Cricetulus griseus: one gene and its partner. The protein of the gene in region 1 purifies or fractionates together with the protein of each later gene. This does not show direct contact. Links are inferred from orthologs where the notes say so. Each region holds a gene or a part of one and is shown on either strand. Other genes may lie near its edges. The genes, in order: Acvr2b and Inhba.

Region 1 (3,807 bases):
TGCTAAAGACTACTCACAGCCTTCCTTGACATTCCATCAATGAGGGTCTTCTTCACCTGCTTTGTCCTTCTCTGACATAGTCACAGAGATCTCTGGCAATAGATGGAGCCTGTCTGGACCACTACATGCAGTGAAGGAAGAATGACGTCTCTAGCTATTTCTCTCCCCTGACTATTCTCAGCACTTTCCACACACAGGGGCTTCCTCAGGCTTCCAAAAAGCTTAGGGGAGATGGGAATCCAGGGAAAGTGACGTGAAATCTGTGGGACAGTGCAAGGCAGAGGCCCCACAACCCAACTGAACACGAGAAGAAAGAAAAACAGGGGCCACCCAAACTTCCAGGCCACACCCTGGAGAATCACCTAGCTTCCAGCCATGAGCAACTGGGTATGTTACCTGAAGCCTCGAAGCAGTCTCCAGCCCAGACCCTCCCTTTTCCAGGACACTCAGACACTCCATTATAATGACACAGAGGATTGACAAGGACACTGCTGTGGCTGGACACAGGGTCAGCAGCAAGGGAAGACAGCCCCCAGAAAAGGTGTCAGGCCTGCAAAGTATCACGACTGGGATGTCCCACACCAGAGGTCAGGATGCTTGTGACAACCAAGCCAGCACACGAGAGAAAAACCACCCAGGGTCACGAGATCACACACAAGGAAGCTGGGTTTAGTGTTTGGCACAGCGTGTGGCTGGGTCTGGGTCACTCGTGCAGCAAAATAGCTGCATTTCTTAGTGGTTTGTTTGTTAAGGGTCAAGAGGAGAGAGGGTCCCACTGCCTGAGGAGAAAGCTAAAGAAAGCAGATATGGCACTTTTCAATAAATATTTAAAGCTTCTCAAAGAAATAAGCGGAAAAGAAAAGCAACTGCTGTAAGACTTGTTTTGCTAGGAAAAAAAAAAAAAAAAAAACAGTATTCTGAGAGGAGAAAATACCACATAGCACAAAATCAAATGGGGGAGGGGAGGAAGGGACACACATAGCTTACGGAAACAGAGTACATGTCCCCCTAACTACCCGGCCAGCCCACAGTGATCCATGGAAACAAAGACCAAGGTCTGAGAGGGAAGCCAGCTGGCCTGTGCACAAACACCCACAGAAAAGAACAAGCCCAGGGCTGCGACCGTCCCCACCCCACCCCCAGGCACCACACAACACGCTGAGGGGAGCGGCTGCCCAGCTGTGAGCTATGCTCTCCCAGACTTCACAGCACAGTTACAGGCACTGCAGAGCCCACCTGCTGCCAAGGGAATTAACCCTCAAGTGCCAGCTGCAGTGGGCCTGAGGGCTTTGGGTCTGCCACGGTAAAGGAGGGGTGTCATCCTGAAAACTACCCAGGGGACTTCTGGAACAACACCTGGGCCTCTCGACAACCCAGGAGGCAGTGGCCTGCCCTCAAGATAAAGATGTGCTGGTTGCATAATATGGTCTAAACCAGAGTGACGAACGCCCAGACTCCGCTCAGATGGCCACCTAGAGCTGATGACAATATTCACAAATAAAAAGGCAGTGCTGACTAGAAGACACAGACTTTTTTTCTTTTTCTCTATTTCTTTTAAACTTCCTTGTCATAAAAGCCAACTTACATTAAAATATACTTCCTACAAGACAACACGACTAACAAAATATATAATTAATAAAACGTACACAAGTAGAAAATTCTGAGGTATTTCTGGTTTGAGGTGGTCTGTGGTCGTGAAGTTACTTCTTTTACTTTTTAAAATTTCAACCTCGGAAGCCACACAGCAAAGTATGTGTGCATATGTGGATGTGTGTGTTCTGTCTGAAAAAAAAATTTTTTAGCATGTTTCATAAATAAAAAAAAAAAATCCAATGTCGAGACAGCAGCATTAGGAACATTCACGGCCTGGAGCAAGGTTATGGCGTAATAGAAAAACAGCTTTAGAATATGCACCACTTTAAAGGGTCTGGAGAAAGCCGTGTTCACGAGCCTCAGAAAGGAGCCAGTGATGCCGCTGCGTAGAGCCAAGCCAGAGCTGCAGGCCGGCAAGGTCCCCACCCAGGGATCCTCTGGGCTACCCACACCGTGCAGGGGGCACCATGGGCATTTCCCCAAACTGCCAAGAGGAAACTGCAGTTTGGTATTTCCTCCATAAAAGAGACCTACAGCATCGTGTCTAATGAAGAATGTCTGCTAAACTGCCACGCCCTCACCTAGTCCCAATATACGCACAAGCGAGGCAGTGTTTCCTCCAACCCACAGCCAAGCCCAAGGTAGTGGGAGGAGCCTGGGCAGGTGGGGCAGCCTGGCCCTGCCCTTGAACTTTCTCCAGACCCTGTGCTTGCTGCTCAGCCCCCATAAGGTCCTTGTACTCCACCCCTTGTTACCTGAGAAAACAGCCTCCATAGCCAAGGGTGTTGCTCCATATGTGCCCAAGTCCAGTGTAGCTCTGCTCCGAACCCACCCAGAACCACCCTCCCTTCCAAACCACCCTCCTCATCTCGCTTTCCCTCTGCTGGGTCAGGATGACACCCATTAGATCCATGAAGACACATCTGCCATTTCTTAAGCTCACTGCCTGAAAAGGGAGACACAAAATAAAGGGGGGGGGGCTCTTCTGAGGAAGGGTGTGTGTCCATGTAACAGTCTTCAAGGGTTCCTCTAGTAGAGATTGCAGCATTGAGTTTCCTAAGACAGGAGATGGGTTTCTTTGTGTTACAGATTCTGAGACAACAAAGAGAACGCTGGGGAAAATCCATCCCGAAGGACAGGAGTGGCTGAGGCTCTTCAGCATGGCGCTGGTTCTGCACTCACAGCTCAGCACCTCAACGCCTGCTGACACGTCCGCTGTTTGCGATACAGTAGAACAATATGCTGGTAAAAACTGATCCAATCCAAAAATAATATTATTAATAATAATTATAATAATAATAAAAGTCAAGGTAAAATAGCAGCTGCATTTTATGTGTTTGTTGGTTTTATGGTATTTCCAAAACAAAACACAACTTTTTTCCTTTTTTTTTTCTTCAGATCCACTGAGTCTGGAGAGACACTCATATCCTAGGCTTAGATGCTGGACTCTTTAGGGGGCAGGTCCACATTGGTGACAGATGTCACCAGAGAGACTAGACAGTCCGAGGTAGTGCCGTTGACCGACCTCCTGATGAGGGACACCCGCTCCTCCACGCAGCCTGCAGAGAGGCGAGCCTCTGCATCGTGGTCCCAGCACTCCTCAATGGTCACACAGAGCTGGGCCAGGCCCTGCAGAGGAGTGGGAGGGAGGGAAGAACCCTTGTTAGGGCTGCACAGTGAGGGCAGCAAGTGATGATGCGTCCAGGGAATGGGCGGAGCCTATGTCCCAACCACACCCATTGCAGGTCAATTAGAAGGCTGCAGGCCCTCAGAACCCTGCTCTCCTGTCAGTCACCCCACTGAGTCTGGACTGCCCTTACAGCTCCAGGGAAATATTTGCTAAACTTCAACAGGAAGAAGGGGAACCCTCTCCCCCTCCCTTTACTACACACACACACACACACACACACACACACAAACAGCTGCTAGCCTTGGAGCACTGGATCTCAAATCAAATTGTACACAAAGCACAAACACAAAGGCCCAACATTTAGTATCTGAGCAACAGTGAGGGTGGGAAGGAGATCAGGGCCTACCTTATTCCCCACAACCTCAGAGATCCCTCCGTAGGGTGCAGGGAGCATGGCTGCCTACCCTCGCTCCTGGGGCCCTGCTCTGTCAGGCAGTCCCCTTCACACACCCGTAGTCCTCTGAACCCAGCTCCCTCACCGGATGTTTCAGCCAATGATCCTTAATGGTAGGCCTCATCTTCTT
Region 2 (4,502 bases), on another chromosome or scaffold:
AGCAATAAGACAGAAAATGAAAAGGGGGTGTGCAAAATTAAAAAAAAAAGCCTCAGAAAGGCATTGTTTTAAAATGCACATTTGTCTTGTTCTGTGAGCACTGTAATCCTTGATGATTTCAGCTCTGCTGTTACTTTGAAGAGAAAGGAAGCAGCCAAGCAGGCTGCCATGAATGCTATGGTTAATACTAGGGGTGGGGGCAGAAAAACAAAACAAAACTAGCACATGCCAGAGAAAAATAATTTGTCAACATATTTTAGATATTCTTTCCTTGTAGACCAGTTATTCACACCATAAGAGCACACTGTTTTTATGAAAGAATGTGAGAAAGGCCAAGTGAATTCTATGCTTTATCTCTGAAGCCAGGACAAGGGACAGTGGGCTATAATATGTGGATATGTGTGTATGCAGGGCACACACACACACACACACACACACACACACACACACACACACACACAGAGAGAGAGAGAGAGAGAGAGAGAGAGAGAGAGAGAGAGAGAGAGAGGTGAGTACCTTCTCTGATTAGGGTGTGTAAAATGCTGCTTGCCCAAGGGAGCTTCCAATGCCCTGCTGTGGTGCCCAGTTGGCAAAAGCAGAGTGTATTATATGACCCCAGACAAAAGTTCTGCTGCGCTCCAGGTCCCATTGGATCGCCTGCTGGCATGAGGACCCTGGACATTTAAATATGAATGAATGGCAGAAAGGAATGGTTCTGGATTCTGTCAGGCAGAACAACCAGCTGTCTCAGGCAGCCCCTCTGTCCCAGGTCCAGTCCCCTGACCTGTGTGATCTACGGAGGGCTTCCCTCAGCCCCACAGCAAGGTCAGGTGCGTGCTTACTCCAGGGCAGTGCCAGGCCATGGGAGAGGACTTTGGGGGCACACTTTGCAATCAAGTTATCTCAGGGAATGGAGACAGTGCATTCAGTTTGTTTGGGTTTTCTCTTCCAAAGAAGGAAGGTGAAACGGACTGAGCAGAGAGAGATGAAAAGAAGAGGGGAAAAAGTAGAAGAAAAAGAAAGAAATCCTTAGACCAAAAGTGAAGAGCCTTAGGAGCATGTATTGCAGAAAGGGCTAAAGAATCATCCCCCATGCCCAGAGAATGGTAGGATTTGAAGAGAGGTGTGTGAGGGAGCAAGGAAAGCAGCCTGTCAGAAAGGGCTGTCCCTCCTCTCCAGTCCCAGCCCTTACACACAGCCGCCCTCCCTCTCTCATTCACTCACTCACTTAGGGCCAATCCGTGCTCTCTCTCTCTCTCTCTCTCTCTCTCTCTCTCTCTCTCTCTCTCTCCTTTCCTCCCCTCCCCCTCCTTTTCTCCCTCCCCTCCCTTGCTCTCCCTCTCTTTCTCCCCCTTTCCCTCTGTCTTCTCTCCCCCTCTCTCCTTTCTCCCTGTCTCTCTCCCTCCCATCCTCTCTCAGTCTCTGTCTCCCCCCCACCCTGTCTCTTCCTTCCTCCCTCCCTCTCTCCCTCCCTCTCTCTCTCCCTCCCTCCCTCCTTCCTTCTCTTTTACTCGGAGACAGTCAGAACTCTCCTCCCTGACAGCCACAAACCTACAGCACTGACTGCATTCAGAGAGGGAACCTGCAAACAAAACTTCACAGAAAACTTTTTGCTCTTGTTCCAGAGAATTTGCTGAAGAGAAGAAGGAAAAAAAAAAGTCCAAAAGAACCTGTGCGTGAGGGGGGGAGGAAAAGCAGGGCCTTTTAAGAAGGCAACCACACGACTTTTGCTGCCAGGATGCCCTTGCTTTGGCTGAGAGGATTTCTGTTGGCAAGTTGCTGGATTATAGTGAGGAGTTCCCCCACCCCAGGATCCGAGGGGCACGGCGCAGCCCCGGACTGCCCGTCCTGTGCGCTGGCCACCCTTCCGAAGGATGGACCTAACTCTCAGCCAGAGATGGTAGAGGCTGTCAAGAAACACATCTTAAACATGCTGCACTTGAAGAAGAGACCCGATGTCACCCAGCCGGTGCCCAAGGCGGCGCTTCTCAACGCGATCAGAAAGCTTCATGTGGGCAAAGTGGGGGAGAACGGGTATGTGGAGATAGAGGACGACATTGGCAGGAGGGCCGAAATGAATGAACTCATGGAGCAGACCTCGGAGATCATCACCTTTGCCGAGTCAGGTGGGTGCTGGCGTTGGGGGTGGGGGCGGGGGCAGGGAAATGTATTTCGTTGACAGTCCTAGCAGGAACTTCTTTCCCTCCCGCTGGAGACTGCCCGGGAAGGTTATTAGTTATTAGGTGATGGTGGCGCCGGAGAGGCAGAGGAGGGGGAGAAGACTTCTTTGCCAGGGAGCCCTGCCCCGCAATGGCTAGCTTACACTTGCTAAATAAACTCAGCGGTTACCCAGAGAGGAAGCTCTTGGGCCGGTCTGGAGCTGTAAGGTAGTCTGCATGGGGCTTCCTGGCTGCTCTGCCTAGGAAGCCAGATCAGAGCAACCAGATGAAAGCAGGGCATTTGGGGGTTTGGGGGTGCAGAGGCAGCATCTGGACCCCATCCAAAGTTTTTCTGGGGTAGGAGTGAGAGTGCCTGGGGGCCGGGTGCAAAGGCACCGATGAAGCCACTGTCTGAAAACAAATCTGTTTTAAATGTCTGATCTGGGGGCCGCATCGGAGTCAGACTTGGGCATATTTATGAGTGACAATCATTTTTACCTCTGGAAAGCCTGCCTCTGTTCACAACCTACCCAAAACAGCAAAGAGCAACTCCCAGGGTATTGGGTTAGTTATGACTTTTGGAACACTGACATACTTGCTTTTGGAATAAAAACAAAATAAGAAAAACAAAAGCAACAACATCAACAAAAAGCCAAAGAACCTCACCCCCCCAACCCAGTTTTATTCTTTGTAAAGTTACTAAGAACTTTTTGCCAAGGAATGCAACCTTCACAGTGTGCTCTCATCAAGATGAGCTACTCAAACCTTAAGAGGAAGAACTTGAACAGATTTTAGTCATTGACTCAGGACCACACTAACCTGTTGCTGAGTAGAAAATACCTGTCTAAAGCTGAAGCCCTAGACTTGGAACTGGCTGCTCATAACACTAGGAGGAAACAGATCTTACTGCAAGTCTATAAGTTTGTTGAAGCTGGCGTACAGATGGGTTAATAATACCTTTTCACTTTCATGGTAAATGCCAGGCTAAGGAATAGGATCTCTTGCCAAAGACAGTTGAAAGGAATGCCATTGTTTTGTTTGGTATAGCAGCATATGGCTAGTAAAGTATGTGCAGGGACTCCCAGCATTTTGTTTAAAAGTTTGCTGCAGCAGTATAAACAATTAAGGCAACACTCAAAATTTCCAATCCTGAAAACCTGTTGACTCAGATGTTCTGTTTTCGAGAAAGCCATGCAAGACCTGGGCATCCTTGTGGGGGAGGGGAGGGTAGGAACCCATAGGCTGCTGGCTTGGTGGCTTCCTCCTTGTAAGAAGCCTTGCTACCCTCGAAGTTTCCTAGAGAGGTGAGCTCTGTCCATGTCCTACTTTCTTACCTACCAGATCCTTTTTGATACAGTTCCTCAAACCTTAGTCACTGTGACTTTATTTTCTGAACCTGACTGAAGAAAAGAATTAAGTTGCCTCTTAATTTTCTTCAGCTTTCATAATTGGAAGGTGAAAGATAATCTTTGTAACATTGGCTGGTGTGTGGGGGAGTGGGATCTGTGCTTCAGAAGATTGGTCCTGGGCCTCACATGTTCTTATATGCAACCTTCACCCATGTCGCCTCTATTGCAGTTTCTACTAACTTGGTTTTAACTGTATCATGTGACTAAGTATACATATGACTTCCGCCATGTTTAACTGCACAGTGGTTGCCAGCACTCTATCCTTCCCTCTGATTTTCTGGGCTTGTATAGAAAATTCATCGCTTGGCAGTTAGAGATTTGGCAAAGAATTGGGCCATTTACACTCTTTCTTACTTATGGCCTTCTCAATGCTAATGGCTCTCAGTTATATAGGATCTTGTCATTTTTGCTTTTCTGTTGTTCAGTTTGAGAGAAAATGAGCTACTATTTACGACGGTGATTCACTGGACTCACACATTGAGTGTAAAATTCCTAAGTGGAAACTCCTAGTCCAGGAACATGATGTGTTTGTTACAGTTGCTTATTTTCTCATGTGAAAAGTAGCACACATCGACTTCAAGTTGATTTAATATAATTTCACAGATTGTAAGTAAGGACATATAGTATAGACAATCTACTCTCCAAGCAGTGTAGAGTATGGCATAAGCAGTTTACTTAGGCAGGGAACATATTTATCATCTGATTAATGAGAGCAAATATATGAAAATGAACTGTAAAGATCTGTATTGTTGCTTTTGGAATAATTCTACTTTTCTACGTAGTACATTTACATATTTCAAGACTAGCAAAGGGCATGTGCTTTTCTTCTTTCTTTATAACCATTTGTACAACAGAGAGTGCAGTTGATGAGTGTCACCTGTAAGCACACCACAGATGTGCCTTTTAACATCAAGATTCCTTGTATGGGATGTAT

Evidence for each region.
Region 2: the proteins of Acvr2b (region 1) and Inhba purify together in Homo sapiens (affinity purification with western blotting; 3 studies listed by BioGRID and IntAct, with this or other methods). This does not show direct contact. The link is inferred for Cricetulus griseus from reciprocal best matches to the Homo sapiens genes ACVR2B and INHBA.

Annotation. Positions count from the first base shown.
Region 1 is NC_048597.1:226,508,130-226,511,936, reverse strand, and holds part of Acvr2b (activin receptor type-2B), read right to left. Parts: coding exon 3,763-3,807; intron 3,223-3,762; coding exon 3,028-3,222; 3' UTR 1-3,027. UniProt on the Homo sapiens protein: Transmembrane serine/threonine kinase activin type-2 receptor forming an activin receptor complex with activin type-1 serine/threonine kinase receptors (ACVR1, ACVR1B or ACVR1c).
Region 2 is NC_048596.1:238,811,702-238,816,203, forward strand, and holds the start of Inhba (inhibin beta A chain), read left to right. Parts: upstream 1-1,535; 5' UTR 1,536-1,738; coding exon 1,739-2,126; intron 2,127-4,502. UniProt on the Homo sapiens protein: Inhibins/activins are involved in regulating a number of diverse functions such as hypothalamic and pituitary hormone secretion, gonadal hormone secretion, germ cell development and maturation, erythroid differentiation, insulin secretion, nerve cell survival, embryonic axial development or bone growth, depending on their subunit composition.